4 linked regions of the Bombyx mori genome follow. The protein of the gene in region 1 purifies or fractionates together with the protein of each later gene. This does not show direct contact. Links are inferred from orthologs where the notes say so. Each region holds a gene or a part of one and is shown in the gene's direction. Other genes may lie near its edges. The genes, in order: syndetin, vacuolar protein sorting-associated protein 51 homolog, EARP and GARP complex-interacting protein 1 and vacuolar protein sorting-associated protein 52 homolog.

Region 1 (5,012 bases):
TTTTAGTACGAATAGCATTGCTTCTTGCTATGATAAAAGATTTTGGAAAATAGAGTGATTAATCTATAACTATTCTGTAAAGCTATGTACATAAAAAAGAATGAATGTGTGTATTTATGTGTACCTAAAACTCGTGAACTAGTCCCCCAATTGATATAAAACTTTGCACACATCTAAAGGGTGCCATAACCATTTAGACCATTTTTACTAGTGGTAGGACCTTTTGTGAGTCCGCGCGGGTAGGTACCACCACCCTACCTATTTCTGCCGTGAAGCAGTAATGCGTTTCGGTTTGAAGGGTTGGGCAGCAGTTGTAACTATACTTAGAACTTATATCTCAAGGTGGGTAGCGCATTTACGTTGTAGATGTCTATGGGCTCCAGTGACCACTTAACATCAGGTGGGCTGTGAGCTCGTCCACCCATCTAAGCAATAGAGGTCGGCACGCCTAGGGGGCGTGCGGGTTATGTAGGATTTGACGATCTGCAGATGAGAGCAGACCGCAGGCCCAAGGACGTTTTAGGGCCCTACCGCACTAAACGACTCCCCTGCACTTTTACATCCAACGTCCTATCTCCACCCGGGGTTCTGACCCCCTTACTCTGACCGGGTTCTGAGCTGGTTAGAGTAAGGGGGTTCCCGCGGTCAGCACTATAAACAAACTCGCAGTACCAGTGCCAGCCCGACTAAGCAGGCATAGCCGCTCGAGGTTACCAGCATAGGTACGAAAAAAAATCAACGAGTTGCTATGTTTTACTCATGCTACAAAAAGCGTGTTAAGCTGATCATTAAGCTTAAAACAGTACTATTATTTTCAACGACTTGGAATAAATTACAGATGCTTACGGCTAAAGGTACATTCAATAAAAATCTTAAAATTAGTAACTTTTTCATAGAAATCATTCAATTCCAACACCGGTCACTCACATGCGCACGAATACGCAAACCCACAACTGTAGGACGACATTTGCGAATGATTATGCAAAGTTTTCGCTGCATTCGTGGTTTTCCAAGCTGTGTCGGTTTTTTAACAGACATCAAAGCGCGCGAACCTCGAACCTTCGCGTAGTCTCCCACACATTCACTTGCCCAGTTGCGCCGACGATTGCGAAGGTAACGGACGTATACTATACGCCATTTTCATAGTTCGTGACGTCTACTGTGTAGCGTATCTTCATCAAAAGAAATCCCATAAAAACAGCATGGCTGTTAATGATGTCTGGTAAAGAATTAAAAACTATTTTTCTCTTCAATGTTCTGTTGACGAATTAAAAAGGAGGAGAAATTCGTGAGACATTCGTAAACAAGTGTAGGAGGAAGCGCAAACGGGTTCGCAAATTGAGAATGCGAACCCATTTGCACAGCCGCTAGGTTTGCGAATGAATGTTTGACGGCCCTTCACATGCGCGCAAACATTCGTACAATGTACGAATATTTGCGCGCATGTCAGTGGCCGGCACAAAGGTCTAATGATTAGTCACAAGTTTGGGAATAGGAAACAAAATAGCTGGAGGTGCTCAAGTGTAGTTTTGGGTTATTTTAGTAAGTCCACTGAACTGAGAGCTTTAGGTACTCTATGCGATATCTACCTATTTTCTGAGGTGATAACTCACCATTTAACTGCTTACGACATTCTATCTCATTTAACATCCACTCGATGTGGTTTTATCTCACCAGATATAATCTAAATGTTTGGTAGAATTGGCACTGCTCCTTTTGCTAATCATTTGACAAATAAAAAAAGCTAACGAAAACTCAAATCTCAATGTCAAATGTCAATTGAGAACGATTCAATGTCAAACAGTCAAGCGAAACTTTGTTTTTATAAAAAAAAAACAAATATATATTAATGAATTATATTTAAATAATGTAACGAATTAAGATTTAATCTCAGTGTTTTTCACAGAGAAGTTATAATTAGTTAAAATATTTAGTTTAAGCAGTAACATGCATAGTATGCGCTACGCACGTATGATCTTGAAGTGTTTCAATAAATAACCAAAATAAATAACTCAGGTCAGTATTTACTCAATGTTTTACTTCTATTTACGCAGCAACTAAGTTTTTTCCTGCTATGAGGTCACGCGGAAGTGTCTGAAACAGTTTTACAGTAGTCATTTCACTCTGATATTTTAGTAACTTCGAAACAAATCAAAGATATTCTGCGCCCCTATTTAAAGTTTATCTTGAAATTAGGGTATAAAAGTAAAAAAATAATAAAGCTTATATACTCAGAGTCAGTAAAGTTGTTCCTACATGCTGCCTATTGCCTTAGACTGTCCACTACCTCTTTGGAGGAACTGGCATGACGTCTACGACTGACGATAACTACAACACCACGTCGGCCAACATAGGCAATAAATAAAATGCAATACAAGCAACTATGTGCAAAGATTTAATACTCATAGTAACGTAATTCCCATAGGGATAACTACTTTTGTTTGAAATTACGAAGCAAATAGCTTATAGCGTTTTATATGTAAATGAAGATAAGTATGATACTGCAAAAATAAATTTTATGGAAACCCAAAATGCAGTTGTTCAGTCATCGCTAGACTAATGAGGCAATTAATAATAACCAATTTTTATATACGAGTTTTTGTTTGTAATTTAAATACGTACATAATGAGGGAGTGAAGGTATTTGGATAAATTACATTTTTGCAACTTTACAGGAGAGCTATATAAAGTTTGAAATTGTTAAAAAATATCATATCAAAAAAACCCCTTCAGCTATTTGAATCTTATACCTTTAAATGAGCAATTCTTGTATATATATATAATCTAAATCTTGGAAACGGCTCCAACGATTTTTATAAAATTTTATATACAAGGGATTTCAGGGGCGATAAATCGATCTAGCTACGATTTATTTTCAGGAAATGTTTATTTGTGTTTTCAATAATCAACTTTATGACTCTTCCCGACATCTATTGGCGAATAATAATAACTATATGATGACCGACCTTAGAACTGATATCTCAAGGTAGGTTGCAGCATTTACGTTGTAGATGTCTATTGGCTCCGGTAACCACTTAATATCAGATGGGCCGAGAGATCGACGACCTAAGCAATAAAAAAAAAAGAAGCAAAAAAGTAATTACCAATCGAAACGCATAACTGCTTCACTACAGAAATGGACGTGGTGGTTATACCACTTATACCACCAGTGTTTTAATTTCATTACTCACTAGATGATGACGGGTTTTTTTTTTATAACGCCATCTTGTTGTGTCTTTAAGGCGGTTAGTTGCCCTCAATTAAGAAAAATAGTATTATTATCTGCCAATAGATGTCGGGAAGAGTTGATTATTGAAAACACGAATAAAACAACATTTTCCGAAAATAAATCTTAGCTAGACCGATTTATCGCCCCCGAAATCCCCTGTATACTAAATTTTATGAATATTGTTGGAGCCGTTTCCGAGATTCAGATTATATATATATACAAGAATTTCTCGTTTAAAGGTATAAGATAATACTATTTTTCTTAATTGAGAGCAACTAACTGCTTTAAAGACACTGCAAAATGGCATTATAAAAAAAATTATATCATTATCATCTAGCGGTCATCATCTAGTGGAGTAAACTTAATTGAAGTTCAATTGAAAAAATCGAACTGTCGATGCTAATCTATATATTAATACGTGAAGCAAAAACTTTGTATCCCTTTTTAGGCAAATTGGGCGAACAGAGGAGTATGAAATTTTCCACACTTATAGAGAATTTAGAGAAGAAGTGCACAATGCTAATATATTTTTAAAATAATGCATAAAAGATACATTAAATCATTAAAGAAAACATTACACACACTACATACCATGTATTTGACGCACACGTGCATGCATACTATTTTTTGTCAAACTTTTGTTCTTGGCGTCTGTTGTCAAATTGAGAATAGATTAAATATTGTTTGTCTTTATTAATATTTTTTATAGTGTAGTCTTGGCGAAATTTTTGATTATAGATGTATAAAATACAATCATAATAGTGTACAAACTTACAATTTCAATTAATTATAGTCGAATTTCGATTACTGCGGGACCTCTAGTACCAAATAATTCGTACCTTTAATTATGAAGATAAATGTCGCTTAAACGAAATACCCTTTCACCCTTCAATGTAATGATGTTATAAATAGGTCTTGCAACATGCTGTCCAATGATGTTGTCGAAAACCGCCGTGGTCCTCCCGGAGTCAACTCGAGGTCGCTCAGCTCTGCTCATTCTGCTGCTGATCTTGAGGTTTGTATATCAATATGTCGCACAACAAATAGTATTCCGTTTTGATATTGTAGGGCTCACCTCATGCTAAGCTACAGTCCATAGACGACATATTCATTTTATGCCAAATTTTTTTCCCTACCTATGCTGATGGCCTTGAGAAGCTATATCCCTAGCGTGTAGGTGAGCTCTTGGGGCTCAAACCGGAGGCGTTGCTAACACTGACCCTAGTAAGGGCAGTGCTTCGCTGAATCTACCACCGGATCGGAAACGCGACCCATTGAGAAGATCCGGCGAGAAATTGAGTGGGCTTTTTATGCCATGATGTCAAAGACTCAATCACACCGGAGAAGTATGTGTATAACAAGTGAAACTTGAACATACATCGGCATACATTATTCATTGAGTACATTAGACATGAAACCTTTTGAAATATTCAATCTCATTCTCTCTGATACTAAATCCTAAACACATATATTGTTACGCCGGTAAGAGTAACGCCATCTATCGTCGAATAGTCGAACGGATATCGAAGGATCTAGTAGCACCTAGAACGCTCGAGAAGTACAACGCCATCTATTGTCAGATAGCGGAAACATAATTCTCGAAAAATGTGGAATATCGTCGATAATTCTAGGGCTGTGGTATCGGCTATAAAAGCGTTGCAAAGATGGCTCGCAGTCAGTCAGTAATCGGAACTATTGGTATCGGATAAGCGATCAGTCGATAATATTGTAACGCGTTGGGGTTCGGAATAAATAAAAATTCTATCGAAGTACAAATTAAAACT
Region 2 (4,835 bases), on another chromosome or scaffold:
ATACGTTAATTAAAATCCAACGTGAATTACAAAATATCTATGCACAGCAGAAGTGTTCCAAACAGACCAAAATTGCAGATTTTATGCTCACAGAAAAATAGCATTGTACTTATGTACATAGTTGAATAAATATATTTTTCCAATAATTCCCTATCAATTTGTTTGTACTTGCACGATACACATTAAACATCACCAGTTGTTATGACTATCGGTTTTTACGACTGAATATAAGCAGTCCCTTCGACGTCGTTATAACAAATTTTGACTGTAATTACTAGTTTTTTTTTTACATATTATATATTGGGTGTAAGAGCTCAGAGACCACTTGGAGGCATGAAGCCTTCATTAGAGTCTATTCAAAAATAAATATAAGGAAAAAGGCACTTAGAAATACCTGACTTTAAAGTTTTTAAGTCAGGTATTCTAAGTGCCTTTTCAGCCTTGCCTTAGAAATTATTTATTTGTTTTTATTTATTTCATTTCCATTCCATATGACTTTGACAAATTTAGTGCTTTCCTTAGGACACAAATTTCCAAGATATCACAGTAGTTATTGAATTTTTCAGTTGCTACTTATGTTATTTGGTTTTAATACACGACGTCCTCGGATGTAAATAGGAACTACAATTTGCATTTTAAGGATTTCAAGTTTGATTCTCTTGATAAGATCGTTCTTAGAGCAATATGCAAATGTTGGCGAATAATACATAAGCCGTTTGTGATCACTAAAAGTCGGAAATAATAAAATGAAAACTTTAAACGAGATTTAAAAAAAAAAATTTTAATTAAAGGCCTACGGCTCTCGGAATTGAAGAACATCCGTTGAGAAATCTTTGGAAATTCAAACCTCAAGCCTAAGGAAGAGATATTGAATAGATTCACCTCGAGAGTGTAAAAATGGAATCTTACATTTTAAAGGTATCTTGTCAGTCGCCTTTTTGATAGACGACATCGTTTTCTTAACAGACGCAGGCGAAGCGCGTCCTTTAGTCTGATTAGTCTTCCCTACAATTCGTTGCACTTTAGGCGTAGGTTTGGGGACATCTCGAGGAGCCATCCTTACGTTTTTTGCTCCCAAGTTTTCTATTGTATATGAGAAGTATTTTAGCAAAAAAATCACAAAACAATTCGCAACAGAAAGTTTTCAAATTTAAACACACAAACTTCAAAATATATTTTTTTGGTTGATTCGTTATTATAGGCAAAGATATATTTGACTATACAACCAAATATTTTGTTATGAAAGGCTGGCTGTTGTCAGAAAACTCAAAAGGAGCGATGGGATATATTAAAAGAATTAAAAGAGAATTAAAAGAAGTGAGATAAGGGCAATAACATGAGATAACGTAATAAGAAGAAGAGGAAGGCTGCGTGGATGTTCCACCATGGATCTTCTGAACTACCATAGGAAATAATACAGTACCCGTGGTTCTTTTCTATATTTAGTGCATTACCCGTGTATGCTCATAAGTAATATAATTAAAATGAATATAAGTACTTTTCCCTACCAATGCTGATAGCTTTGAGAGGCTATTTCAGCTTCGCCTTGACGTGGTGAGCTCACAGGGTTCAAACCGGTTCAAACTGTTGCTAACACTGGCCCTAGCAAGAGCAGTGCTTTGCAAAATCTACCACCAAATCAGAAACGCGACCCATTGAGAAGATCCGGCGAGAAACTCAGTGGACTAGTAAGTACTGAGTACTTCGCTTAAAGGTCTTGTTACCAGGCCAGTCATAAAATATTCAAAAAACGCAGTACATAGCAGTACGTATGATAAAGATTACCTTGCATAAATTTTAATAATAAAAGCTAATTTGGCTTAAAAGACTTTGTTTCCAAGCCAGAAAAAATTATTTAAAAAAATGGGGAAATATTATCAAACGTACATACCTATATGTATGTATAGTATACAATGTATACATATGTTCATTATTGTATATACAGAAATAAAATATATAAGCTTTAATGTTTATTCTAAAACTGCATTTATAAGACGGAGTATTAGTAAAGTAGGAAATAGTATAAATAAACATAATTGTTCTCATTCTCATAAGGTCTTATCGACGTCAGTCCTCGCAGCTGAAATGTTGTGTTTCTAAATAGTTATTCTCTTTGGTAAATTAGAATTGCAGACGAACCAATAAACCGCAAATATATTTTATTAAGGAGATTAGCTTTAAACGAATCACTTTTATACCTATTGAACAAAGTACATAATATGGAGGAAGCCAAAGCGGTTAAAGAAAATCCTCTGGACATCGACAGCAGTAGTTTCAGCCCAGACGTCTACTTAGATTGTCTTCTAAAATGCGCTACCCTAAAGCAAGTAATGGACAAAGAAGCGGAAATTGTAACTCAAAGTCAATTTCTACAATCAGAAATGCAGACATTGGTTTATGAAAATTATAATAAATTTATTTCGGCGACCGAAACTGTACGCAAAATGCGTTCCGATTTTAAAATAATGCAAGAAGAAATGAATAAACTTAGCGAGAATATCAATAAAATAACTACATTCAGCTCTCAAATATCTGAAAATCTCCAAGGCAGCGGTAATAATGTTCGACGTTTGTGTGGTACAAGACAGCTGTTAGATAAACTTCAGTTCCTTTTCCTTCTACCTTCTCAACTTAACAAAGCAATAGCAGAAGGCAGATACAGTGATGCTGTACAAGACTATTCACATGCTCAGCGAGTACTCCAAAAATATGGCAATCAGCCTTCATTCCAAAGCATACAGACTGAGTGTTCAGAAATTATATTTGAACTGAAGAAGACACTCCGTGAAAGACTTATCAGTCCTAATACATCTGCAACTGAACTTGCTGAAAGTGTAGCCCTTTTAAGGCAGCTCCAAGAAAGTGATTCATCCTTACAAGATATATTCCTTAGTTGTGCAGAGAGTCGTCTTGACAAACACTTGCAGATGCTCAGTTCTATAGCTGAACATACAGACATTTTGGACTGGGTAGAAAAATGCAATAATACATTGTTGGCTGATTTAGCTATTATAATATCATGTTACAATGAAATGTTCGAACAGGAAGCTATCATACCCGAATTTGCTGATAAAATAATGATTCAAATTTTTCATTTATTCGAAGAGGTCATTAAAAGACCTGAGAACAACGGAACTGAAATGTTAATAAGGGGCCTTGATAAATTCTTCAGAAAACTCCAGGCTATGACCGAAATATCATCAAGTGATATGATGTCCAGTAAAGGCACTGAGGTTGTCATTCAGTGTATAAATCACAAGGCTATGGTACAGTACCAGAGCATACAGACTCAATTTAAAGACAGTCTTATGAAAGTAAGGCAGTCTTTGGCCAGTAAAGGATCAGAAACAATTGACTTAAAAGATATACTGAACTCCCTTCAAGTATATCTGATGCAAAAAATCCAAGCCTCACTCTTAGATCTAATGGCATTCTTACAAAATAATTTATCATTTGGATTAAAACCTTGGTGTGCAAAAGCAGTAGCTGATGCTTGCTCAAAAGTCATAAATGAAACTATGGCTAATCTTTCTGATCTGGTAAAAAAGATGGCTTGCCTTCAGACTTCAAATAACAACATTCCTTTTGAATTGCTACTTATACTAGCTAAGCTATGTTTGGATATGCAAGAGACTGGTGTCTCGACATTACAGAACCATCTTCTCAAACTCTTAGAAGAGGCTGCTCCTGGCCTCACTGTGGATAACAAGGATACTAGTAGTGTCATGGTCCACTTATCTACTGCAGCGCAGACTGCACTAGATTCAGAAGTTGTATTTATTGGCCAGACTGCAGCCCAAATGTTGAGAGTATCTGTATTAGCTAGAGATTGGTTGCGAGCTCCAGAACCAAGGGGGCCAAGAGCAGTATGCAGAAGAGTAGTGGAGACCTTAGCTAGTGCTGATGGTGCTGCATCTCAACTGTTTCCAACTAGTATTAAACCTTCTAGTGACTCCAGTCGGCGTACTATTTGGTCACGTGCTCCTTCTTCTTTTTCACCTCTTAATAGGATATTCTCTGAAAGAATTGAAGTGTTTAGTCCTGCAGGGGCAGACAGAGCTGCACTATCAAATGGTGCCCTAAAAGTAGCTTTGAAAGCATTAGTTGAATGTGTGCGCCTACGCACATTTGGAAGGCATGGCCTACAGCAATTACAAGTTGATGTTCACTTTCTACAGCAAAGGCTTTCATGTATGGGCAATGATGAGAGGCTTCTAAATGCTTTGCTTGAAGATGCTTTAGCATCAGCACAGTTGAGATGCGTTGACCCACAACTAATGGAACCTAGTATTGTAGATATTATTTGTGAAAGAGGTTGAAGGAGAAGAACATGATGCTTGTATTGATAAAACTGGCTTAATTATCATATGATTCAAATTTAGATTAGTCTAGGGACTTAAATACCAATCTTAAATCTATACTATCTATACTAATATTATAAAGAGGAAAGATTTGTTTGTTTGTTTCTTTCGAATAGGCTCCGAAACTACTGGACCGATTTGAAAAATTCTTTTTCCATTAGAAGCCGACATTGTCCCTGATGAACATAGGCTACTTTTTTTTTTTTTTTTTGGTTTCATGTGTGTTTTAATGTTTCCGAAGCGAAGCGAGGGCGGGTCGCTAGTATTAAATAAACAAACAATTATTTATACTTTTAGTAGTTTTATTTATAACCCATTAATCAAAATTGCATCATATTAAAAATAATATCATCTACATTTATAAAATTTCATGTTAAATGCTTCTAAAACATAAATCTCACAAGACTGCTACTCTGTTTTTTGCATTTTTGTTAGTCACGTAGATAAACATCATTAAAATTAAAAACATTTTAA
Region 3 (4,331 bases), on another chromosome or scaffold:
TTTTTCTATTATATTCGATTTCTATTAGTTATTTGTTCTTCTTCTTTTTGCTCTTATTCCACTGCGTAGGGTCGATGCAGCATGATTTCTTTTACTATTCAAGCCCATCATACAACATCTCAACCCTCAGACCCATACAATTTTTTTAGGATGACCCTCCCTCACGTTACTTTCATATTGAATTCATTATTTACATATAGAAAATATGTTTTTTTGCTTAGTTACAAGAATGACAGTGATTGTACATTTGAAACATTATACAATGAAATGTTGTAATCTTTTTTTATTTATTTTCATTGATGCACAAAAGAAATCACAATCATTACACTACATTACATATGAACTAAATCATACAAATAGTAACTAAATCTGGACTTCAATCTAAATCATACATGCACTCAGCAAACCCATATTAATGTACATAACGAGCGAGCCTCTAAATTAGTTATTTAAAACAAAAAAAAAAACATGTGTGCAATTCACACGTGGTAGAAGTGAAAAATTCCAAAATTAAAATACAATTATCCTAAACGTCTTAAGTATATGTAAAATTTTGTCATTAGTAAATAATTGTAAGATAGCGCCCTCTGTGAATTGATATTTTAATTTCACGTATAATAATCCTAAATTAAAATTCACTACAAGAGCTTTCATACACACGTTAGTATTAAAAAATCTCACAGATGACGCTGTATTAAATAGTATGTATATTTCTGTCTCATTCTTTGCTGGCTTCATCCTACACATTTTTGTATTTGTGTCTCTTACCTGTCGTTTTTTCCGTTGCATCCGGTTTGAAATCACAACGATTCTAAAGAAGTTTTCACTTCAACAAAATTACAAATAAAATTACGGGTTCCAGTGAAAGAAAAAAACAACAAGAAGTATCCATTATTTAGATAACTACAATACAACCAACACAAACATTAATCCCTTTCCAGGCTATAACATGATCAAGATTAATTCTCACACATTCAATATCGACAACTGGCCACTGTACGGTAGGCAGCGGCTTGGCTCTGTCCCTGGCATTGCTGAAGTCCATGGGCGACGGCAACCACTCACCATCAGGTGGGCCGTGTGCTCGTTTGCCTTCCAGGGTAATAAAAAAATACATCTGGCATATCCTTTGAGCTAGACTCAAGGTTAAAAAATATCAAAGTCTCTGTGACATTTAGCCAAATCGTTATACTTCCTGACCATTCTGACCATAGGGTTATAGTAGGATATATTATTTTTTATCTACGACCTTTAGTTTCTCTGTCCCCACGATATCTGCAGACTGAATGGGCCAGAACTCAGTGCTCTCGCATACAATGTGTCATAAAAAAAATCTAGAAGGCCGAAGAGGAGATCCGTTGCGCTGAGTGGCATCCTACGGACGCGGGGCGCTTGGGTGTCGTATACGAGTCCAGCGTGAGGGTACACGACGTGAGCTCTGGAGCTGCGGTGTGCAGCATGAAATCTGACGGTCGGACCAGGCTCAAGCTCACCGCCGGCAAGTGGAACCCGCATCAAGGTCACACTCAGGTGCGTTCTAAAATCATGGCTTACTCATCTTTAGGGCTACTGCGTCGTGATACACAGGCTTCTTGGCGTCAATTATGACGTTAAGGAAATTGTTTTTTTTTTTAATATTAAATGTTTCTTCTAAGATGCACAAATCATCAAACCAAAAAACGAATTTGCACTCCGTAAATTCCCATAGTTTCATATTATCTCGTAGTTAACAACAATTTCATTAAATTACATTCCATTTCACTGTTATTAAACAATAATTGTTAAATAGACGTTCGGCTCAAACGTCCAGGACATTAAAAAAAAATATAGCCATAAAAACAGGCTCGGAACTGTCCAGGCTATGTTATCTGGGACCATAATCAAGAACAATCATAGACATGACACGACATATTATTATAATATTATTTTCCAGATCTTTTAATTTCGACAATTCTTCCTCTGGCTTGTATGCTTTGCAATGGCACCACCTCTAGACATTCTCAGGACACATGACCTCTATCTATAAATGCCTAGAATTGATTTTCCCTTGGTAAACATAGTTAACACTTAAAATGTACAGTAAAGTAATATAATATAACTAGAAGACCCGACCACACGTTGCTATGGCTAAGGTTTTTGTTTCTAAAAAAACACGCGGCTGGCTATGCTAATACCATAACTTAACAAAGTAAGACCAATTGGATTACACTGTATTTCGTTTACTACGAAATAAATTTCACTTATACTTTAGTCTCAGCAACACGTGGTGTTTATGCCTTTAAATTGTAGCTTATGTGAAACTTTGGTATTTTAACACAGCGCCATCTATGAGATATTAATGTCAGACAGTATTACAATTGTCTGTAAAAACTGATTTAAGGCGCCATCTGTTTTAGACTTATGAAACATACAATTAATAACAATAATCAACATAAGAAATCATTTTATTGTTAATTAATAAATATTATGACCATTAATCGAAATAAAAACCATCCTATGGCCTAAATTGGATCAAACCCCTTATTTAAAAAAAAATAAGTTAAAATCGGTTCAGTAGTTTAGGTGTCCATCGCGGACAAATAATGTGACACGTAGTTTATATACCTAGTCAGGTCATAAATTCTGTCACATGTTTGATGTAAAATAATTGAAACAAGTTTATTCATTATGTAACCATTCATATACCAAAATGAACTTAACAAAACATAGATTCTTATGACACTAAAGTTTATTCAAAATGACCTCCGTGATTTTGAATACAGGCCTTCAATCTGCGCGGCCAGTCGTCTATCGCAGCACGAACGAGGTCCATGTCAATATCGGCGGCTGCCTTAATCAAGGATGTCTTGAGTGACTCCAAATTCGGATGAGGCTTTGAGCACGCCTTTTCCTCCAAGTGTTGCCATATCTTGTAATCTAACGGATTCAAATCTGGACTGGAGGAGGGCCAGTCTTCGTGCCGGATGAAGTCGATTTCACGCGCCGCCAGCCAGTCTTGTGTGCTCTTCGCTCTATGAGCTGGCGCCGAATCTTGTTGGAATACCCAGTGCCTGTTATTGAACATGGTATGAGAAACAGGTTCCACAAGGTTCGTCAGGACTGTATTTTGATACACAACTGCATTCGTTTTTACACCTTTCTCACAAAAATGTACCTCTGTTAAGCCCCAATAAGAAACTCCCAACCATACCATGAGCGAGGATGGAAAATGACCTCGTTGGACACGCGGAATACGGTTGCTCGCTTCTTCACTACTGTGTGCGTACACCTTATCATTTTGTTTGTTGTAGCTCTCTTCTACGGTAAAAATTTTTTCATCCGAAAAAAGAATTTCCCGATATTTTTTTCCCGCGTACCGCTTCAACAAAGCGCGGCATCTCTTCAGTCTCAGGTCCATTAGACCAGCATTCAAACGATGTCCTGTTTTTCTTCGACATGCCCGAAGCCCTAAGTCTTCATTTAACACCCTTTTCACCGTGGTTCTGCTTAACCCCATCTGAAGGGCCAACAGTTTATGCTTACGTTTGGGATTTCTTTGAATTCGCGCCTTCACAGCTTTTATCACTGCTGGAGTCCTAACAGACCGAGGGCGACCACTTCTTGACCTGTCATCTACACTAGAGTCTTCATTGTATCGTTTGATGGTACGATAAACAAATCTCTTGGTTATATTCAAATTTTTCAGTATGTTAAAAATTTGAATTGGCGCGTAACCGCAACGATGCAACGCAATAACTGCAACACGGTCTTCTTTAAACGTTCACTCCATATTTAAAAATGAGTAAAATTCTAAAAGTATACATTTTTATTTTCATGAACAATTCGAAATTCGAATTCAATAAACTTTTTTGTGGGCAGCAATCTAAAAGAAAAGTTTTTACTGTGTGACAATACTTATGACCTGACTAGTTATATTAAGAAGATAAAAGAATAATTGGTTTCTTTGGTTTCATATCAACAGTTTGCTGTTCTGCAAGATATGCACATAAAATGCTTCGACACGCGCACTGACTGCTCGAAACCATCTTGGAGCATAGACAACGCGCATAGACAATTAGTTCGGGATCTAGACTTCAATCCGAATCGGTAAATAACACAGAAACATGTTTTCCCTAAAATAAGTCCACTTTTTTTTTATTGCCTTTTGTAGGCAGACTAGCATACGGCCCAACTGATTATAAATGGTTACCGTCGCTCATGGACCTCAGCAATGCACAACGAAGTCGTTGTCTGCCATCAGAAAACAAAGGCATTTTTTAAATACATAAAATAAGTAGACGACCTCACAAATTACTTGGTGGCGCGTTACCGTTGCTCGTGGACATCACCTA
Region 4 (5,001 bases), on another chromosome or scaffold:
CCTACTTTAAGAATGGTAAACCTTGAACATCAGTTAGACAGTTAGGAAAATAAACTGCTACTAACTGAAACTACTACTACTAGAAATGTCAAATTAGGAAGTACGTCACGGTATTTTTTACTTGATGCCGAGATCCTGTCCGTTTGATAGTCGTAAATTGCAGTTAAACTTTCTTAAATATTAATATAAAACATAATTTATCAGTTAAATAGATCAACGAGAATATGTACTAAATATGTTCATATGTATGTGTACATAGGCATTCATTTATTCTATCTACAAGTCCTTTAATACAATTACAATATGCATAATTAATACAATGGCATTTCTTGACATTTCAATATAATTTTACTCTATTCTTAGTTGTGCTTTTGTTAAAGTTATACATTTTCTTTGTAAATATTTCTTGAGAATAATATCATTGATGCTTATGCATCCATTAAATTTGTGTGTTTATTTTTCATCCCTTGAATTTAATAAAAAACGTACTTTTCTAGAATATTTGAAGTCATCGTAGCTTAAAGGATAAGACTTCCGGTGCATTCGTGTTGAGCGATGCACCGATGGTCGAATCCCGCAGGCGGGTACCAATTTTTCTAATAAAATACGTACTTAACAAATGTTCACGATTGATTTCCATGGTGAAGGAAAAACATCGTGTAATAAAAATCAAACCCGCAAAATTATAATTTGCATAGTTATTGGTGGTAGGACCCCTTGTGAGTCCGCAATAGTAGGTTAGTACCACCACCCTGCCTATTTCTGCCGTGAAGCAGTAATGCGTTTCGAATTGATGGGTGGGACAGCCGTTGTAATTTTACTGAAACCTTAGAACTCATATCTCAAGGTGGATGGTGTCATTTACGGTGTAGATGTCTATGGGCTCCGGTAACCATTTATCACCAGGTGGGCTGTGAGCTTGTCCACCCATATAAATAATAAAAAAAAATCGAGTGTTTGTAGGTTTTGACAGTAAGGCCACAATCCTCACCCACACTTACTTAATTACTTTTTAAATTGACACATACCAAAACCATGTAACAAACTTTTAAAACTTAATTTCCCCACGCTACATAGAAAACCCACTACTGCCTTCAACACCCACAACCCACAACTCCAGGAGCCAACCAGTACTTGGAAGACTTCATACAGTTTCTTAGGGAAATAAAATCATATATTTTCTTGTGGGACGCCTATACATATTTTATATACATAATGAAGCAAAATGAGATGAAGTTAATTAATTTGAGACTGTAATCAATTCGGATGAAATTAAATGAGATGAGATGAGATAGAATAAAGTCTCAATAAAATGGTAGTTATTTAATATGAGATCAGAAACTGGAACAACCCGAGAAGCCACATTCAACACAAAACGAGGTTAATAAACTACCTTTATTACACGTTTAAATCTGAAGAAACCCTAAAATTAGGAAACAAAACCAACAAAACAAAAATTCATACAATTTCGCTCTTCGTGTTCGCGCCAAAGAGTCTGAGATTTTAATATTTTTTTTATTTGGCTGTATGGGCTTTGAACTCTTTGTCCATCCAGAAAGAAAAACGAAAAAAACGTCATAAGTAGTGTCACTGTTTCAGTGCTTTAAATTGTTTAAAACAACAAAAAAAATTAAATACAAAACCTAAAAATTCAAGTAAAATGTATGTGAATAGTTGAAAACGCACACAGTCAAGTATAAATGTTGATTTCCCGTCATTCCACTAGAGTTTAATCATGTCTGATAACAACAACATGAACTTAGACAAAAATCTTGAGGATTTCGAAATCCAAGAGGTTCTCCGTAATGGTACAGATTTGCGAGAATATGCTCTTCAAATCGACAAAGGAATCATCGAAGCTGAAAAAGCATCTGTTGCGGATTATTTGAGAGAAAGTGAGAATATTGGCTCCCTTCATAATCAAATCGAAGAATGTGACAATATTTTAGGGAAAATGGAGAGTATGCTACTGGTGTTTCAGGTAAATTTATCTCTATTTACCGCATAAAACAGATTTACAACACTATTATAGTTTTCAGCCCTTTGGTACCCACTGCTGGGCATAGGCCTCTCCTTTCACACAATAAAGATAGAAAAATACATCTCCTTGGAAAATAAAATAAATACAAAGCATGTTAGGGAATGCTAGGAAATAAAATATTTATAATAATGTGACTATAGAATACCTATTACCTTTATAGAAAAAAGTCTCAAATAAATGTTAATTTTTTAGTTTTTAGTGCTTGTTTAAAAGGCTTAGGAGTTCGACAGACAGAGAAACTATTATCAATAAGATCTAGTGAACTGAAATACCTCTGACAGTTAACTGAGAACTTTAATTTTAATTTCTAATTGAGTTGAGAGAGTTTGAGTTAATCTTGATACTATATCATACCTAAAGATTTCAGTACTGTGGAATTCCCTGGAATGTAAACATGAACTACAAACAGGTCCTACTTGCCAATAAACTGAAAATTTTGATGTTGAGAATAGCTCTATTGAAAAATGTTGTGCCTATTGTATTCTTTAATGATAACTTTTCTTGTAACAGAATGATTTAGGAAGCATCAGCAATGAAATTATAAGTTTACAAAAGCGTTCAGTGAATATGTCAGTACAGTTATCTAATAGACAAGTGCTTAAGGGACCTTTATCTGCATTCATAGAAGACATGGCAGTGTCGGAAACTGTTATATTGTAAGTGATTGCCTGGATTCATTTATCCACTTTTATGGATTTTAATTGTACTCTATTATATTTACTATTACATTCCAGTGGTATCAACAATGTTCCAGTTACCGACAAAGAATTCATGGTGCAGTTGGCAATTTTAAACCAAAAATTAAATTTTGTAAAGGAACAAGATTTCAAAGAAACTAAAGCTTGTCATGATGTCAAAGACGTTTTGGAAAAATTAAAGATAAAAGCAGTGTCAAAGATAAGAACATATATTTTAGAACAAATATATAAATTCAGAAAACCAATGGCAAATTATCAAATACCACAAAATGCCATGCTGAAATACAAATTTTTCTTTGAATTTGTATTGACCAATGAACGAAATGTGGCTCAAGAAATTTGCAATGAATATATTGATACATTGAGCAAAGTTTATTATTCATACTTCAAGTCATATGCATCAAGACTAGATAAATTGAAATATGAAGAAGCACCCAACAAAGATGACTTAATGGGAATTGAGGATGGATCTAAAGGAGGATTCTTCCAGAAATCTAATTTAAAAAATAAAAGTACAATATTCACTATAGGGAATAGAGGTGATGTTCTGGCCCAACAACTAGAAGCACCCATTATTGTACCACATGTTCAGCAAAAAACAAAGGTACAAAATACAATATTACAAATTTCATTTGGTTTCTCGTTTATAGAATCAAGTGATTAAAATCTTTTCATTCCTAAATAAAATATGAAATTAACAACTTTAAAATATTTATTGCTTGCTGTATGCATATCATTTTTTTAATGACACTATATTCATGTTTTGATCCACTTCTTGATAATAAATAAATTATTTTCAGTATTCATATGAAGCCTTATTTAGAAGTCTTCAATATGCCTTGGTAGACAATGGTTGCAGAGAATATCTGTTTACCACTGAATTCTTCCATGTCAAAGGAAACCATGCACAAGAGCTCTTTGATAGAATCCTCGGTAAAACATTGTCCGTGCTTGTAGTGAGTAAACCATTAAAATTATGTACATAAATATTTATTTCTGGAAATTGAATAGTCTGAATTGAATTGAATCATCTTAATTTTTTATTTTACAGAAAAATGTGGAAAACTATGTAGTTGAATGTTATGATTGTTTGGCACTATTTCTTTGTATCCAATTAATAAACAGATATAAGTTAATGTGCCATAAAAGAGCAGTTGCGGCTCTGGACAGGTGAGAATTCATATTAAGAAATGTATCGACACTGACAAACCTTCATTTAGAAGGGTAAGAGCTAATATGGCAAAGAGTAAATAAATATAGGGTTAATCAGCCCTGAGGCGACACTTGTATGTCATGTTCGACCCACCATAAACCCACTCAGTCCTCAAGTCTCATCTTGACTTTAGTGTTTGGTTGAAACTTACTTCTGCTTAACATAACAGTTCTATGTTTGAGTTTGTAGTTTTCCTTATCTTAAACCCAATGCTGATGAGGCCCGTCTCTCCGAATTACATAAGCCATAGAATACTATATACATTGTGAATACCAGACAAGAACTGGCTTTTGATATTGAATGCATATCAATATACTAGTTTTTGCCCGCGACTCCGTCCGCGTGGAATAGTTACTTTGGAATAACGCTAAATTTTACTCCCCACTTCATTTATGTAGAAAGTAACAATATTTTGGAATTGTAGAATGTTAAGAAGCTATTGAAACCCTTATTTTGAAACATTTTTTATTGGTGCTCCACTTGTATTGATCTTACCGTGATGTTATATAACCTTCCTTGATAAATGGGCTATCTAACACTGAAAGAATTTTTTTAATCCAACTGGTAGTTTCTGAGATTAGCGCGTTCAAACAAACAAACTCTTCAGCTTTATAATATTAGTATACAAGTAGATTGTGCCAGTGCTGTTCATTTTGAGGGCTGTAACCATGAGATGATGAAACTGAGAAATCACTCATCATAACTGAATGCATATATTTTTAATATCTATGCTGCCCATTGAAGAGTTCCTTATTCAGAAACCAACCCTCAGCGCAGCAACACCATGTAACGATAAAATCTAAAATACACACATAATAAATGCGTACAACAAAATCTCATATCTATGCTGTGTACCTTTGAAGAGTTGCTTTACCTAAAGCTCATTTTTATGGTCATTGCTTACCATAAAAATACTCTCATCACTGAAATTGAACCAAGAAGTAAAAGTTCAACTCCGTATGATAAGTAGAGGTTTAATTTGCTACATTTGACCCAAACACGCAGATAAATGTATATACAGTAAAAGGTCCTTATTCACAGAATATATG

The links.
Region 2: the proteins of syndetin (region 1) and vacuolar protein sorting-associated protein 51 homolog purify together in Homo sapiens (affinity purification with mass spectrometry; 7 studies listed by BioGRID and IntAct, counting the BioPlex papers as one, with this or other methods). This does not show direct contact. The link is inferred for Bombyx mori from reciprocal best matches to the Homo sapiens genes VPS50 and VPS51.
Region 3: the proteins of syndetin (region 1) and EARP and GARP complex-interacting protein 1 purify together in Homo sapiens (affinity purification with mass spectrometry; 4 studies listed by BioGRID and IntAct, counting the BioPlex papers as one, with this or other methods). This does not show direct contact. The link is inferred for Bombyx mori from reciprocal best matches to the Homo sapiens genes VPS50 and EIPR1.
Region 4: the proteins of syndetin (region 1) and vacuolar protein sorting-associated protein 52 homolog purify together in Homo sapiens (affinity purification with mass spectrometry; 4 studies listed by BioGRID and IntAct, counting the BioPlex papers as one, with this or other methods). This does not show direct contact. The link is inferred for Bombyx mori from reciprocal best matches to the Homo sapiens genes VPS50 and VPS52.

The regions. Positions count from the first base shown.
Region 1 is NC_085130.1:17,523,430-17,528,441, forward strand, and holds the start of syndetin, read left to right. Parts: upstream 1-1,767; 5' UTR 1,768-2,016; intron 2,017-4,140; 5' UTR 4,141-4,150; coding exon 4,151-4,243; intron 4,244-5,012.
Region 2 is NC_085115.1:1,408,372-1,413,206, reverse strand, and holds vacuolar protein sorting-associated protein 51 homolog, read left to right. Parts: upstream 1-1,849; 5' UTR 1,850-2,219; coding exon 2,220-4,319; 3' UTR 4,320-4,651; downstream 4,652-4,835. Other genes in the region: uncharacterized protein LOC101737848, read right to left, coding at 883-1,057. UniProt on the Homo sapiens protein: Acts as a component of the GARP complex that is involved in retrograde transport from early and late endosomes to the trans-Golgi network (TGN).
Region 3 is NC_085126.1:8,657,233-8,661,563, reverse strand, and holds part of EARP and GARP complex-interacting protein 1, read left to right. Parts: intron 1-1,338; coding exon 1,339-1,530; intron 1,531-3,961; coding exon 3,962-4,086; intron 4,087-4,331. UniProt on the Homo sapiens protein: Acts as a component of endosomal retrieval machinery that is involved in protein transport from early endosomes to either recycling endosomes or the trans-Golgi network.
Region 4 is NC_085110.1:11,268,947-11,273,947, forward strand, and holds the start of vacuolar protein sorting-associated protein 52 homolog, read left to right. Parts: upstream 1-1,558; 5' UTR 1,559-1,735; coding exon 1,736-1,981; intron 1,982-2,551; coding exon 2,552-2,697; intron 2,698-2,775; coding exon 2,776-3,343; intron 3,344-3,539; coding exon 3,540-3,695; intron 3,696-3,790; coding exon 3,791-3,909; intron 3,910-5,001. UniProt on the Homo sapiens protein: Acts as a component of the GARP complex that is involved in retrograde transport from early and late endosomes to the trans-Golgi network (TGN).